Linked DNA regions of Arabidopsis thaliana. The protein of the gene in region 1 interacts with the protein of each later gene in a biochemical or structural test. Each region holds a gene or a part of one and is shown in the gene's direction. Other genes may lie near its edges.

Region 1 (7,936 bases):
ATTTAAAAGACAAGTCAAGATCAAGTACACCAGAATAACCTTGAGAGACGTGTACATCTATAACCAAGAATACCAGATATCATTGGACTTTTAACATTCATGGATTGTATACATAGAATTTGTCCTTTTAACACAAAATCATTAATTCTAAAAGATGTGGTTGAATACACTCCTCTCCCTTGACATTGGTACAATATAACATTTGGAAATTGTAACACACATCACCTAGCTCCTCAATTGAAAAAGTTGTATAGCTTTCTTTGGTTCTCAAAGGACAAACACAAACTCATATTAATGTCTCAAGTAGTAGTAAGTTGGAAAGTGATGAACAAAATATACATTACTTGCAATTTATTCCATAGATTCAAAGGTAGGAGCATACCAACCAAGCTGATCGATGAGCTTCTTCAACCTCTCTTCTTGTCCCTTGGAGTCTCCAAAAGCAGTGGTGAAAGGATACACAAAGGTAACCTTAGTGGCCATACACCTGTAAGCAACCACATCTTGCTTCACCAAAAACTCCATCACATCTCTGCTAAATCCTCCTCCTTCTACCTCTGCCTCCACATACCTCCCTGCAAATGCAATTGTGTGTGATCTTTCCTCAAATCCTTGGTGGGAATCATTTAAAAATCCAATTGTGGTGAGAAATAATTTACCATAGGGAGTATCTTCAAGAACCACAAACTTGGGGTTCTTCTGGGTGCTCATTATTGCTTCTTTCAGTTTCTGCGTTGAACAAATAATCAGAAACGATGCTAAATTGATGAAGATAGGAGGAAATATACCTCAATGGGATCCTGTGTATCGGTTTCTGGGATCGTCAATGGAAAAGAGAAGGAAGATGAGGTTGGATTCGTCGATACACATCCTGGGTTCGTGGAAGGGCAAGGCCTAATTTTGCTACAAAAAAAAGAGAGTAATAAAGATTAGCTTTGTTTAGAGAGCAGAAATCAGAGTGAGAAGAGGAACAAACCCATTGAGAAGACCGGTCTGGACGAACTTGGATTGGGTGAAAGGAGTGGTGAGTGGCTGAGAAGAGGAGAGAGAAGGAATGGCTAAGGCAGGGGAAAAGGAAGTTAGAGAGATAGCAAGAGCAAAAGAGATTAGTTTTGGTAAAAGAGAGATTGGAGGAGAAGTAGAAGAGAGTTCTTGTTCTTGTTTTGGGCTTTGCAATGAGCACAACAACTTGGTGCTTCTCGGCCGTGGCGGGAGGATGAGTTGCAAACTGGCGACCAAACTCATGTTTGTAGTTTATGGTTACTCTCTTCTCCTCCAAATATTATTAATATATAAGTGTCTCAAAACGCTTTACTGAAATGAAAATTAATTAAAATTGTTTTTTTTTTTTATTGTATGTTTGAACTTTTAAATTTTAGTTGACTACAAATTCCATAATGTCCCGATATAAAATGTGAGATGTGTTCTTGTTTGACCACAATAAAAACACTATGAGATTGGTAGAAAATTATCAAGAAATAGAGTTTCACCCAATACCAATAGCGTTTCACCTAGTTTTCATCATCCTATTACAAAAATTCGATGGTAAATTACAAGCGGCAAAGTTCAATGTAACTAATGATACACCGATACACGTAACATGTTCATTGAATGTTTCATTAAACCAACAAAAAACTATTGACTCATGCCACTAGAAAAATTACCACCGAATTAAATTAAAGAGAGCGAGAGGCAAATGAAACGATAGAAAATAAGACGTTCAATGGTCTTGAGAGAATTAAATATGTTTCTTTATATTCACCAGTGTTTGAACATTTGCAGAATTGTGCAGAGAAAGGACTAAAGGAGAATGAACAACATTTTATTGGACAAGGAAACTCTATTTTCACGATTTCGCAGGTATGTCTTTTTATAATATTACTTATTTCATAATATTTTGATATAGATGATTACTCAAACAAAAGAGGTGAAAACTCTTGTAAATTTTCAGTATTTAACCTGCAAAACAGATACTACTTTTTTACTTGATTTATCAAACCAAAGTTAAGACTTACAAAAGCACCGGTGACAATCCGACATTGTTGCCATGCAAAGACTCAAACCAATTTGACCGTCGACGCTTTTTTAGTATTTCAAAAATATTTTTATCAATTCATGAATTATGATTATTGCCAAACATCGATTCAGTGGAGACTAGGTTTATGAATTATGACCGTAGAACATATGAAAACTGTGTAAAACTATTGTATAATTTATGTATTAAATTTTGTATTAATCAACTGATATGCGGTCGGACCGGATCCAACCGGCGATCGAAACATACCATTTATATTTTTTCTTTTTCTATTTTACTAGAAATAAAATAAATAGAAACCTCCGTTGCTTTTTTGGCAAACACTGTGAGAGAGTTGACCAAAATCGACCCAGTGGGAGGACTAGGTTTATCGAAAGCTCCAGTTTTCATAGATAAATCCAGTAAAATTATACACGCAAATTCTAGTTTCTTAGAGCAAAGCTTTGTTGAATTGATAGCTTGAATTTGGGAATGGACGGAGAAGAGCTTACCGAGCAGGAGACTGCCTTGTACGACCGCCAGATTAGGGTTTGGGGCGCTAATGCTCAGAGAAGGTTACTTTCTCATCCCCTTGTTCTTTTCAACACTCAATCTTGTTTTCACTTTTCTAAATTTAAGTGCTTTTAAGCTGCATCATCTCAATTATGATTTGAGTCGGCTTTGAGTACTAAACTCTTACTATTTGGCCATTTTAGGAGAATGCTTAATGGTCCCTTCTTAAATGCGGATTTAGATCATTAAAATTGTATTTTTTTTTGCTTCTCCTCCATTCGATTACTTTCTCTTGGCTTCAGTTTTGGTTTTTATTTGTTTGTCTTTGTCTTAAGAGAATTTTAGTTAATACCTATTATTGGTTTAGCGTTTGGATTCTGCTTCTAGACTAGTGCATTCCTAATTATGAGCTCCCTTAGGTTGTTCTGAGATGAGAGTTTTGTTTTTTAACTATTAAGATTGATGTATTCATTCATATTTTGCTTTTTGCTGAAGCTTATTTTATTGATACACTACACTACCATGTAATTACTCTGTAAGCTTGGCACGATTTGATATAGTGTGAGGTTGGTGTTTTGCCTTGCAGATTGACCAAAGCTCATATCTTGGTATCTGGAATTAAGGGGACTGTTGCTGAGGTAGCTGTAACTCTATAATTCATGCTGAGATGTCATGCTTTTCAATTAGTTTAATCTAATGGTATCTTACTGCATTTCCTGGCTTTGTTTCCATTTGGTGGGTTAGTTTTGCAAGAACATTGTGCTGGCAGGAGTTGGTTCAGTGACTTTAATGGATGATCGTTTAGCAAACATGGAGGCCTTGAACGCTAACTTTTTGATTCCGCCTGATGAAAATGTTTACAGTGGCAAAACTGTGGCTGAGATTTGTAGTGATTCACTCAAGGATTTCAACCCTATGGTCCGTGTTTCCGTAGAGAAAGGTTTCCCTCTAATACCTCTCCGTTAATGTTTTAAAAACATACCGACTATTATCTGATCAATTTTTCAAATCTTTCAGGTGATTTGTCAATGCTTGGCACTGATTTTTTTGAGCAGTTTGATGTCGTAGTTATAGGCTATGGTTCTCGTGCTACCAAAGTATTTATACCACCTTTTACATATTTACCACTTGCTTTCATCTTTAGTTGCTCCATACATCTCTTCATGACGTTGTCTGTTTATTTTTTGCAGAAATATGTCAATGAAAAATGTCGGAAGTTAAAGAAACGTGTCGCATTCTATACAGTCGATTGTAGAGACTCATGTGGTGAAATCTTTGTGGACCTCCAAGATTACAAGTACACAAAGGTACTTGCATGATTTGTTGTTGCATTTCTTCTGTTGATTATGTGCTGTTTTGACATTTCATCTGGCTTATTTTTAAATTTCTATAATTCCATTGAACATTTAAACTTCATTAACAACTTCTAATTTGCACAATGTCCTTTGTATTGTTTTCCTGATAATTTTCTTTCCACAGAAAAAGCTTGAAGAGATGGTGGAATGCGAACTAAATTTTCCAAGTTTTCAGGTACAATTTAACACTAGTTCTCGCTACTAATAATCCTTACATCTGCATAGGATTTTGTGATAAATTAGATTTGTTTATTGCCACAGGAAGCTATATCGGTACCATGGAAACCGATTCCTCGGAGAACAGCAAAGCTCTACTTTGCTATGAGAGGTAGTTACTAGTTACTACAGCTGATTTCTTTATTACTTTCCACAAATGAAAATTGAGATCCCAAGGCAGATACATACAACAAAAATTCTTCACTAATCTTTGGCATTCTCATGAAATTTTCAGTAATAGAAGTGTTTGAAGAGAGTGAAGGGCGTAAACATGGAGAATGTTCGCTACTCGATCTTGCCAGAGTCTTGGAAATCAAAAAGCAACTCTGTGAGGCAAACGTAAGTGTGTTTAGTTGTTTTATCATTATTTAGAAATGTCACTGCCAGGTTCACTGAATAACTGAATATTGTCTCTCAGTCTGTGAGCGAGAGCCATATACCAGATATTCTCTTGGAGAGACTTATCACTGGTACTACTGAATTCCCGCCAGTTTGTGCCATTGTGGGAGGAATATTAGCACAGGTTCTCTCTCTCTCACTTTCACTCTCTTATCGCATTCGAATCTTCTCACTAGAAACTTGTAATTTGACAAGAAAGATTTTTTGATGTGGCAGGAGGTGATCAAAGCAGTATCAGGCAAAGGAGACCCGTTGAAAAACTTCTTCTACTATGATGGTGAAGATGGGAAAGGTGTGATGGAAGACATTTCCGACTCTTTTACCTCTTAAACAACCAGTGGGCCTTGATTTAGTTTAAACTCTATAATCTCTGAGATTCCATGTATATCTCAATCGTTTGTTTTTTGCCTTCACATTATGAACAAATTTAATGCAGAATTTAGTGGAGGATCAGTTGTGATTTTCCTTCGGTAAAATCATTTTCAGTTATTGACATTTGAATTGTTCAATTTCAAATTTCAAATATTATAATTCAATTCAAAGACTAGCTAAGTTTTTAAAAGTAATTAGTGAGAGATCTCACAGTGATATAAACCACATTCATTTTAATTCATAGCAAAGTAAATGGTAAGAAATGAAAATGGAAGAAAGAGAGGAGAGTAGTTCACACGAACATCTGAAGGAGAAGTTGAGAGAGCTTGAGGAGGAATGGACAGCCATGAAAACAGGTAAAAACTCATCTGCGGTTTCATGGATTACCGTGGAAGATGCTCTTGAGTATGTCGAAAACTCTCCCAGAAACCTAATGCTCTCTCTCCAACACAAACCAAAGGCAGAGATGATACAAGAAATATCGCCATTAAGGAGAAAACTCTTTCACGACTCTGATGATGATGATCAAACTAAGAAGACGACATTGCTTTCTCATTCATCTTGTTGGTCTTCGAATGTGACGAGTTCGAGTGATACCACGAAAGCAAAGAAGAAGACAACGATTAGAAGATTTGTTTCTGTTACAATGGTGCTGCTTTTGTCATGGGTTTTAGTTGTGTTGATGAACCACTTTGATCATCTCTCCATGAATACACAAATCATTACTTTGGTTCCTACTTGATATTTTTATTTATTTTGGTTTGAGAATGTTCATCAATCTCAATAAATAAAAAAAGTTTAGTTTTGTATTATTACCTCTCGCCTTCTCTTTTAATTCATTGAACCTCTTCAACTTTGGCTGTAACTATGTTGGTTAAAACAGTATAAGTAATGTATGTATTTATGGTTTTAGGAAAATCTTACAAAATAATACTCTATCATTGGATGAAGAAGCAAAAACTACACCCCTCTACATCTTTTCTATTCATAAACTTTTTTGGGGAAAGAACTACATTGGTGGTGATTAGGTGCATCGGTGACACTAATGTTGAAAATATGTTTTGTGTAAAATTAGTATGGTTAAAGCTAATCATTTAGTTGAGCAAAAAAAGATGCTAATCATTTAAATAGAAAATGGACTCAAACAAAAGAAGGCCACACATTCAATTGTTACATCTTTATTGGGTTTTCATTTTTGGAAGCTATTTTTATGAATTTGCAGTGTTTTGTTGCCCAAAAGAAAAAAAGCATAATTCCAAGTATATCTTTCATTTTGAATCCATCAGTCATATGTTTTACTTGAATCAACTATTTGTTGGGTTTTACGAAGTTACTTGTTAAGAAGATTCAAAATATATATAATTAGACTATCAAAGGAACAAAAGAATGTAATTGGGTCATAACTTTTTCCGAAGCTTACGTGACTTGGGAGAAAATCAAACCCATTAGTTTCACCCTTAATCAAACTAATCACAAATTTTGAACTTTGCAAAGAAGGTAAAATAATAATCAGCAAAAAGATTAATAAAATGACAAAAGTATCTCTTTAAAAGATTAATAAAGAAATAAAGAAATGACATAAGCTCTCACCGACCGACGTCTTGTCTTTTTTATTCTTAAGGTCGGTGCCATGTCGACGCCTTCAAGCTTAGAATCTCGCCACGTGTGGGATAAACTAACCGAACCCAATCGAACCAGACAGACCAAAGACAGACCAGACCGGACTAGTTGTATGTCGGCATCAGCGTTCTAGTACGACGTTAATTAAAAAAATAAAAATAAAATATTATTTATGATATTCCACCAATAAGAGCCAATGAAAAGTGTGTGAACCAACCAACTTCTGTAGCAAACCGTACCATTTCTCTCTTAGATACCTTTACCTTCCTTCTATAAATTAGGTTCTTCCTTTCACATTTCTTTGTCTTCTTCTTCTACATAAAATTGATTCGCCTCGAAATTTACACAGACTTGTCGCTCTCTCTTTCTCTCTTATTTCACAGAGCCCCTAAACATTTCCAAAAATCTTGCAAAGGAAGAAAAACAATGGACAAATTTTGGACTTTCCTCACTGCTCTTCATTCAGGCGCTGGGTAATTATTCTTAATCTTAATTTTCCTTCCATTATGTTTCCAAAATTAGTTACTTTTTGATTTCCTCTGTTTCGATTTCTAATCCAAACCGTAATCGATTTGTTGGTAATGTATATGCAGGCCTATCGTGATGTTACTTTATCCATTGTAAGTTTCTCTCTTGTTAAACCCTTTAACAAAAGAAAAAGTTTCTTTCTGGTTCGATCTCTCTACTTTTTGTTGAAGATTAAAAACAAAAATCTGTGAATATTTACTAATTATGTTTTTGATTACAGGTACGCATCGGTGATAGCAATGGAGAGCACAACAAAAGTGGACGATGAACAGTGGCTTGCGTATTGGATAATATATTCGTTCCTCTCACTCACGGAACTGATTCTGCAATCGCTTATTGAGTGGATTCCGATTTGGTATACGGTGAAACTTGTGTTCGTGGCTTGGCTAGTTCTTCCTCAGTTTCAAGGCGCAGCTTTTATCTACAACCGTGTTGTTAGAGAACAGTTCAAGAAACACGGCGTCCTCCGCTCCACCCACTCCAAGCCCACCAAGCCCAACATCCTCCACTCCATTTTCCCCCACCGGGTAAATTTTTTATCTTTTTGGTTTTGAGATTCATAAAGCAAAAAAAAAAAGTAAAAGTAACCATTAGTTTTAGTATTCTTTGGTGGGTCAAAGAACGAATCTTTGTTTATAAAGATTAATAATGCATTGAATATAGTCCTAGGAAACGTAAGAGTGTGCCTAATTCTCTAACGTAGCGACCATGAGCGTATAACAAGTGTTTTGTATACTTTTGTTAATTCTTTAATTCGTTTTTAAATTAATTGTGAATTTTAAAATGTGATATAGGAGGGACACGAGGCTCACAGTCACTGAATCAGAAGGGTGGAGCAGACAGAAGAAGCCTGACTAGTATTATTGTAATGGTCTTGGTGGTGGTCCCATCATGTCCCTGTCTAATCTACTTTTTACTT
Region 2 (7,319 bases), on another chromosome or scaffold:
CTCCTGAAGATTTCTCCTTGAAGGAGACGAGACCTCATCTAGGTGGAGGAAAACTCTCTGGAGATAAGCTTACCAGTACTTATGACCTTGTTGAGCAAATGCAGTATCTCTATGTTCGTGTGGTTAAGGCAAAGGAGTTACCTGGCAAGGATATGACTGGTAGTTGTGACCCTTATGTTGAGGTTAAGCTTGGAAACTACAAAGGCACCACTAGGCATTTCGAGAAGAAATCTAATCCTGAGTGGAACCAAGTTTTCGCCTTTTCTAAAGATAGGATTCAAGCTTCTTTCCTTGAAGCTACTGTCAAGGACAAGGATTTTGTCAAAGATGATTTGATTGGTCGGGTTGTCTTTGATTTGAATGAGGTACCTAAGAGAGTTCCTCCTGATAGTCCCTTGGCTCCGCAATGGTATAGGCTCGAGGATAGGAAAGGTGATAAAGTCAAGGGAGAGCTTATGTTGGCTGTTTGGTTTGGTACTCAAGCTGATGAAGCTTTCCCTGAAGCTTGGCACTCTGATGCTGCAACTGTTAGTGGTACTGATGCTCTTGCCAACATCCGTTCCAAGGTTTATCTTTCTCCTAAGCTTTGGTACCTCAGGGTTAATGTAATTGAAGCTCAAGATTTGATACCAACTGATAAGCAAAGATATCCCGAGGTTTATGTGAAGGCTATAGTGGGAAACCAGGCGTTGAGGACTAGAGTATCGCAGAGCAGGACTATTAATCCCATGTGGAATGAGGATTTGATGTTTGTCGCAGCAGAGCCATTTGAGGAACCTTTGATCCTCAGCGTGGAAGATAGAGTTGCTCCAAACAAAGATGAAGTCTTGGGGAGATGTGCGATCCCGTTGCAGTATTTGGACAGAAGATTTGACCATAAACCGGTGAACAGCAGGTGGTACAATCTCGAGAAGCATATTATGGTCGATGGAGAGAAGAAGGAGACCAAATTCGCTAGCAGGATTCACATGAGAATATGTTTGGAAGGAGGGTATCACGTTCTCGATGAGTCTACGCATTACAGCAGTGATCTTAGACCAACAGCGAAGCAACTATGGAAGCCTAATATCGGTGTACTGGAGTTGGGGATACTGAATGCTACAGGTCTGATGCCTATGAAAACCAAAGACGGCCGGGGAACCACAGATGCATATTGTGTGGCGAAGTACGGACAGAAATGGATTCGAACTCGGACAATCATTGACAGCTTTACACCAAGATGGAATGAGCAATATACTTGGGAGGTTTTTGATCCGTGCACCGTTGTTACTGTTGGAGTTTTTGATAACTGCCATCTCCATGGAGGTGAGAAGATTGGAGGAGCAAAAGATTCAAGAATCGGGAAGGTAAGAATCAGGCTTTCTACTCTCGAGACTGATCGAGTTTATACACATTCATACCCTCTTTTGGTGCTCCATCCTAACGGAGTCAAGAAAATGGGAGAAATTCACTTAGCTGTGAGATTCACTTGCTCTTCATTGCTCAACATGATGTATATGTACTCACAGCCTCTCTTACCGAAGATGCATTATATCCATCCACTGACGGTTAGCCAGCTTGATAACTTGAGGCATCAAGCGACTCAGATTGTATCGATGAGGCTGACCCGAGCAGAACCACCTCTAAGGAAAGAAGTAGTTGAGTATATGCTTGATGTGGGTTCTCACATGTGGAGTATGCGGAGAAGCAAAGCAAACTTTTTCAGGATTATGGGAGTTTTGAGTGGGTTAATCGCAGTAGGAAAATGGTTTGAACAAATCTGCAACTGGAAGAATCCAATCACAACAGTCTTGATCCATCTCTTGTTCATCATCCTTGTGCTCTATCCCGAACTAATCTTGCCCACCATCTTCCTCTACCTCTTCCTCATCGGTATCTGGTACTACCGTTGGAGACCGAGGCATCCTCCTCACATGGACACACGTCTCTCTCACGCTGACTCAGCCCACCCCGACGAGCTAGATGAAGAGTTCGACACTTTTCCTACTTCCCGACCATCTGACATAGTCAGGATGAGGTATGACAGGTTGAGGAGTATTGCTGGTAGGATTCAGACAGTGGTAGGTGATCTAGCAACTCAAGGAGAAAGGCTTCAGTCTCTGCTAAGCTGGCGTGATCCGCGTGCAACAGCGCTCTTCGTCTTGTTCTGCTTGATTGCCGCAGTCATTCTCTATGTGACACCTTTCCAGGTTGTGGCTCTTTGTATTGGAATCTATGCTCTGAGACATCCGAGGTTCAGATACAAACTACCATCCGTTCCTCTCAATTTCTTCAGAAGGCTTCCTGCAAGAACTGATTGCATGCTCTGACCTGCAAAAACTGCTTCCAATACCGAAGAAAACTTCTATAAGACTTGTAGTTTGTTCTTGTTAAAAATATCATGATGACTCTTTTTAGTTTGTTCATTGTTAAAAATGTCATGATGACTCTTTTCTTGGTGATGGTGATGATGTATCCGTCTGTCTTTTAACATTATTAAGACTTTTGTTTGAAAGTAGTAAAGAAGTATCTTGTGTGGTTTTGATGTTCTTGTCACTGGTTAGTAAGTCATAATCTATGCCTCTCTGGTTTTTGTGTTTTATCACTGGAGCTTTAGGAGTTTGGTGCCATTGGGTTGGTTGCTGTTGAGATTAGAGGTTGTCACAGTTTGGTCTAATGGTCAAATACAAGTTTCAAGAAAAAACCATTTTTCTAATACATCCAAAGTTGGTTATAACCAAAAAAACTATCATATTGGGAATATATGTTCGCTAAATAACATTCTTACACAAAAATTCATTGAAAGCTTTGATATTTTATTTTTTTTCCGACCATTCTGTTTGACAAATGTTTGCCAGGTGAGATACTTTTATTCTAGAAAGACCAACCATTAAGAAGAAGAGGGGAATAATTAAAGCAAGCTTAAGAGTTAAGAACACAAAGTAAATGGGCCCAGATATGGTAATGGGCCACGTGACAAATGGGATGATACGTTATGGCAGAGAAAGAATCTTTTGGTAGCTTTTTTGGGTATCATCGCGTAGGTTTCACGCCACATTTATCCATTGACTTTTTCATTACGTCTTTTCATTTATTTTATGATATAGTAGATAATAATTATACCTGGTTAAAATTTAATAATTGACCGGTCAATAACCATTAAAGTGGAGGAAGTAGGACGAAAGGACATTTATTCGCCGCGAAATCTGGACCGTACGATACTCCGATTACCCTTCTAAAGCTTTAACATAGGGGTACATCTGTAACTTCACATTCCATCTTCCCCCAATCTCCTATTTGTGTCTTCTTCGAGTTTATATATAGAGAGATAGAGATTGGAGAGCGAGCGAGACAAATCAGAAGAGAGAGATTTAGATATTGTAGAGTGAGATTCTAAAGAGAGAGAGAGAGAGAGATATGGCTAGTGGAATCGCTCGTGGTCGTTTAGCTGAAGAGAGGAAATCGTGGAGGAAGAATCATCCTCATGTAAGTGATTTCGTGTCTTCTATTTCTCCAAATTCGTGATTTTGATTTATGGGTTTTGGGTTTCTGTTGATTGTTCATGGTCTCTGATTACTGATTGGGTTTCTTCTTGTTGATGGTGAAATTTAGGGTTTTGTGGCAAAGCCGGAGACGGGGCAGGATGGAACTGTGAATCTAATGGTGTGGCATTGCACTATACCTGGTAAAGCTGGGGTAAGTATCAATCGTGAAATTAGGTTTCTTCAGTTTTCTTATTCCTCTGCTTGTTTTCTTCTGGTTTGTATTAGTAGCAACAAAAAAGAGATTGAAATTAGGGTTTATTGATTTGGGCTAAAGTCTTTGTTTTTATCATCTTCTGATTCTTAGTTCTTCAAAGTTTTAAGCTTCACCAGTCTCTTCCCTTCTTTTTCTTTGTGATTCTGTTTGATGATTCTCTCATATTTGCTTACACATAGAGCCGTGGAAGATTATCTAATATGAATGTTAGTGGGAAGAGTAGCTGTGTATCTATCTCCTTGTTTATCTTGTATGATGTTTTTTTATTGGTGCATATGATTTTGGTCTTGAATACGACATTGAAACTGAACTCTGCTGTGTATCTTACTTTGACATGGCTAATAAGAGTGTTACTGCAAGAGCAATTGCTAATATCAATCTTTACTGTTGTTTATAGCTAATTTTACATGTTTCTCTGCTGCAGACTGATTGGGAAGGTGGATTCTTTCCATTAACGATGCACTTCAGTGAGGATTATCCGAGCAAACCTCCGAAATGTAAATTTCCACAAGGGTTTTTCCACCCTAATGTCTATCCATCTGGAACTGTCTGTCTCTCTATCCTTAACGAGGATTATGTAAGTACTCTACTGTTTCTTTCTTTGCATTTCTCCATGAGCAAAAGCCAGCTTTATCCTCAAGCTCTCTTTTGTTATGTGTATATCCATAGGGATGGAGACCAGCCATCACCGTGAAGCAGATTCTTGTTGGTATTCAGGATTTACTTGACACACCGAATCCCGCTGACCCTGCACAGACAGATGGTTATCATCTCTTCTGTCAGGTACATTTAGAAATGAAAACTCTAAACACAATATTAGGTTTTGAAACATAGGAAGGAACTAAGTCGAGTGATTGTTGATGATTATTGTGCAGGATCCAGTTGAGTACAAGAAAAGGGTGAAGCTGCAGTCCAAGCAGTATCCTGCTCTTGTCTAAAACCTCAAAAAAGAGAACGCACCAAAACTGATGACAAGCTCTGAATATTTTCTCGTCTTGTGTCATTATGTTTAGATGTCATTGGGTGATTGAAAACTCCTCATTTTGGCACCTTAAGACACTGGAATCTATTTATTTTCGAAAAAAAACTCTTCTTTCTCTATTTAACTGTTAATATTCTTGGTACTGATTCAGTTGGTGTTGCTTCTATATAATACATAATTATGTTCTCTGGTCGTTCATGAGTGTTGTCCAAATTCTACTAAGTGAAATATGAAGTCTTCATTCCATAGAGTAACGAATCTTAGTTGTGAATCTAGAAATACATATATTTCTAACTTGAAACTACGCTTAACACTTGAAAGTCAAAATCTTACTCCTCTAAAATTTATACTCCACTGATTTTAGACTTTTGAAGTAGTATTAGTGCTTGTTAGTAAATTGTTTGCTACTTGGAACATTTTTTGTCAATGATTGAGATAGAAAGCTTGGAATATTTAACAGAACTTGGAATTTAGCTACGAAATCAAGTGTGCAGAAAGAGATAGGCAAACACCGTATGTCAACAGTTACAAAGCAATAAAACCAAACATTCAATACTTATATACAACTCAATTATTGAAAGTCAACAACAAGCCAAAATCGTCTACAAGTGATGACACTTCAGATATGAAATGTGTGAACTATTATAATCTTTCCTATGATATCATCATCAGCAGATGATTCCTGATCTATTCTATCATCAGAACAATGATTTTCCAAAACGAGTATCCTATAAAATCGTCAAAAGATGATTGACGCTTCTAATAAAATCATCAGAAAATGATACAAGTCTAAGAAACCACCGAACTTGTGAAGATATGTCATTAGAGGATGACCTGTAGATCCATCTATGATATCATAAGAAGATGATGTACTCACTGTGCAGGAACCTTTAAGCAGATATACCTCTATGGTCTCTTCTCCTAAGTAAGGATCATCGCATCTGGTCTCTTCTCCTAAGTAAAGATCATCGCATAGTCATTAAAGTCCGCACCCTCTTCTCCCGCTCTTCCCTTTTAGCTTGAGGAGTGCTCTTCAACTTCTGGATCTCCGCCATCACAATTTTCTCAACTTTGTCAATAGAATTGAGTAGCTTCTTCTCGGGTGTGATGAAGCCAGCTTCTTCCTCAGCTATCTCTTTAGTGATGTCAAGTAACATCTTTTGAACTTTAGCAGTTGATGGTGGGCAACTACGCTTGAATCCCACAGATGGTCCAGGAGTGACCATCGAGCATTTGTGTTCTCCTGACAGTGGTACTGGAGATTCAAGAACACCAACTTGTCGATGAGTTGGGATCTCAATAACTCGGCCATCGTCTCCTCCAGTCCCAGCTCCTCTTCTTCTCTCAATAGCCTGTAGTTCAAGAGTGTCAACAGAATAAATCGCCAGGCTAAGCAAGCCTTAAGGCAACAAATCTATGTGATAAAACTTATACAGATAGGCTAAGCAAGCCTGCTATGATCAATAATAAACAGAAACGCTTTAACAAACCAAACCTATCAGTAGCAGATTCCTAATTCAGCTCAAAAGAAGGATTACAAAAACCAATGGGGAAACTTAGACTCAGAGAAACCATTTTCCATGTGCTACACCACAAACAAGAGAGATCCCAAACATTTAACCAAGCTGCAAAGCAAAACCCATGCCAGACCAAAACTGATTATACAAAGAAGAATCAACAGGAAAACACAAAAGAGCTTGTCAATTTACCCGCACAATATGAGTTATGTCGCGTAGAGGTGTTCTTGGATACCAAGAAGGCAACAAACCACCACCTCTTCCACGCCTAGCGGTCACTATGGGCATATTCTCTCTTCCCTGTGGCAATCTAAATGGAGTGTGACCACCTCTGCCATTACCAGGCCTCCATGTAGTGAAATTGCCTCTCACAAGCCCGCCCGTTCCACCAATAGACCCAATATCTGGATTCACCGGAGATTCAATCAAACTAAGCCGTGAATCTGGCTCGTCAAGTAAAATACCATGTCTCCGTCGGTTGGCAAATATAGTCGAGTAATCCACAGGCCTCTCGGTTCGATCTCTTGCTTCTGGCATTTTGATAACGTCGCTGAAACAAACAACAACATAGATTCAATTAGAGACTGAAACATCAAAACTGAATGAAGAAACCCTAGGGTTTTACCCAGAAATCAAATCGTTCATTTCTCCTTAAAAATCAACCCCAAAATTTCCAGAATAATATATCAAGAAACGGAGAACACAACCAAAGGTTATCACAAACAATCCCAAAATGAAATCACAAATCACCCGATTCCAATTTCAAATCGAGTCACAAGAACACCGGTAAACCCCACCCTAACGTCTATAAACGCAATCAAATAGAAGAAGAAACACCATGGATTTGTGTTTACCTTTGAATCTTCAATAAAGCTATTGATAAACTCCAAAACTGTGTAGAGAGACAATGAGAGAGAGAGAGTGAGAGAGAGAAGAGAGCTTTCTTGGGGAGAGTGACGATCTGGGCAATATTTCAAGGTCGCCTCCTGAGCGGGATTATAATGAGGAAACAAATCCGAAGGCACTGGCACGTGCGGTAGAAGGCTCTCTCACACGTGTGCGAAACAAATTTCAAATTTTGC

What was found. Proteins that work in one complex are often made in the same cells at the same time.
Region 2: the proteins of SAE1A (region 1) and SCE1 form a complex in vitro, tested with the Arabidopsis thaliana proteins (one study listed by BioGRID).

The regions. Positions count from the first base shown.
Region 1 is NC_003075.7:12,821,145-12,829,080, forward strand, and holds SAE1A (SUMO-activating enzyme 1A), read left to right. Parts: upstream 1-2,351; 5' UTR 2,352-2,506; coding exon 2,507-2,589; intron 2,590-3,113; coding exon 3,114-3,165; intron 3,166-3,271; coding exon 3,272-3,467; intron 3,468-3,544; coding exon 3,545-3,624; intron 3,625-3,717; coding exon 3,718-3,834; intron 3,835-4,006; coding exon 4,007-4,057; intron 4,058-4,143; coding exon 4,144-4,210; intron 4,211-4,333; coding exon 4,334-4,437; intron 4,438-4,516; coding exon 4,517-4,621; intron 4,622-4,713; coding exon 4,714-4,827; 3' UTR 4,828-5,065; downstream 5,066-7,936. Other genes in the region: AT4G24930 (thylakoid lumenal 17.9 kDa protein, chloroplast), read right to left, coding at 352-575, 660-729, 789-903, 977-1,245; AT4G24950 (uncharacterized protein), read left to right, coding at 5,138-5,611; HVA22D (HVA22 homologue D), read left to right, coding at 7,093-7,109, 7,238-7,544, 7,697-7,716, 7,812-7,875. UniProt on the Arabidopsis thaliana protein: The dimeric enzyme acts as an E1 ligase for SUMO1 and SUMO2. It mediates ATP-dependent activation of SUMO proteins and formation of a thioester with a conserved cysteine residue on SAE2. Functionally redundant with its paralog SAE1B.
Region 2 is NC_003074.8:21,426,188-21,433,506, reverse strand, and holds SCE1 (sumo conjugation enzyme 1), read left to right. Parts: upstream 1-3,108; 5' UTR 3,109-3,396; coding exon 3,397-3,465; intron 3,466-3,591; coding exon 3,592-3,675; intron 3,676-4,162; coding exon 4,163-4,315; intron 4,316-4,407; coding exon 4,408-4,521; intron 4,522-4,613; coding exon 4,614-4,676; 3' UTR 4,677-5,011; downstream 5,012-7,319. Other genes in the region: AT3G57880 (Calcium-dependent lipid-binding (CaLB domain) plant phosphoribosyltransferase family protein), read left to right, coding at 1-2,309; UVI4-LIKE (UV-B-insensitive 4-like protein), read right to left, coding at 5,686-6,072, 6,430-6,774. UniProt on the Arabidopsis thaliana protein: SUMO-conjugating enzyme that accepts the SUMO proteins from the E1 SUMO-activating heterodimer SAE1/SAE2 and catalyzes its covalent attachment to other proteins with the E3 SUMO ligases SIZ1 and MMS21.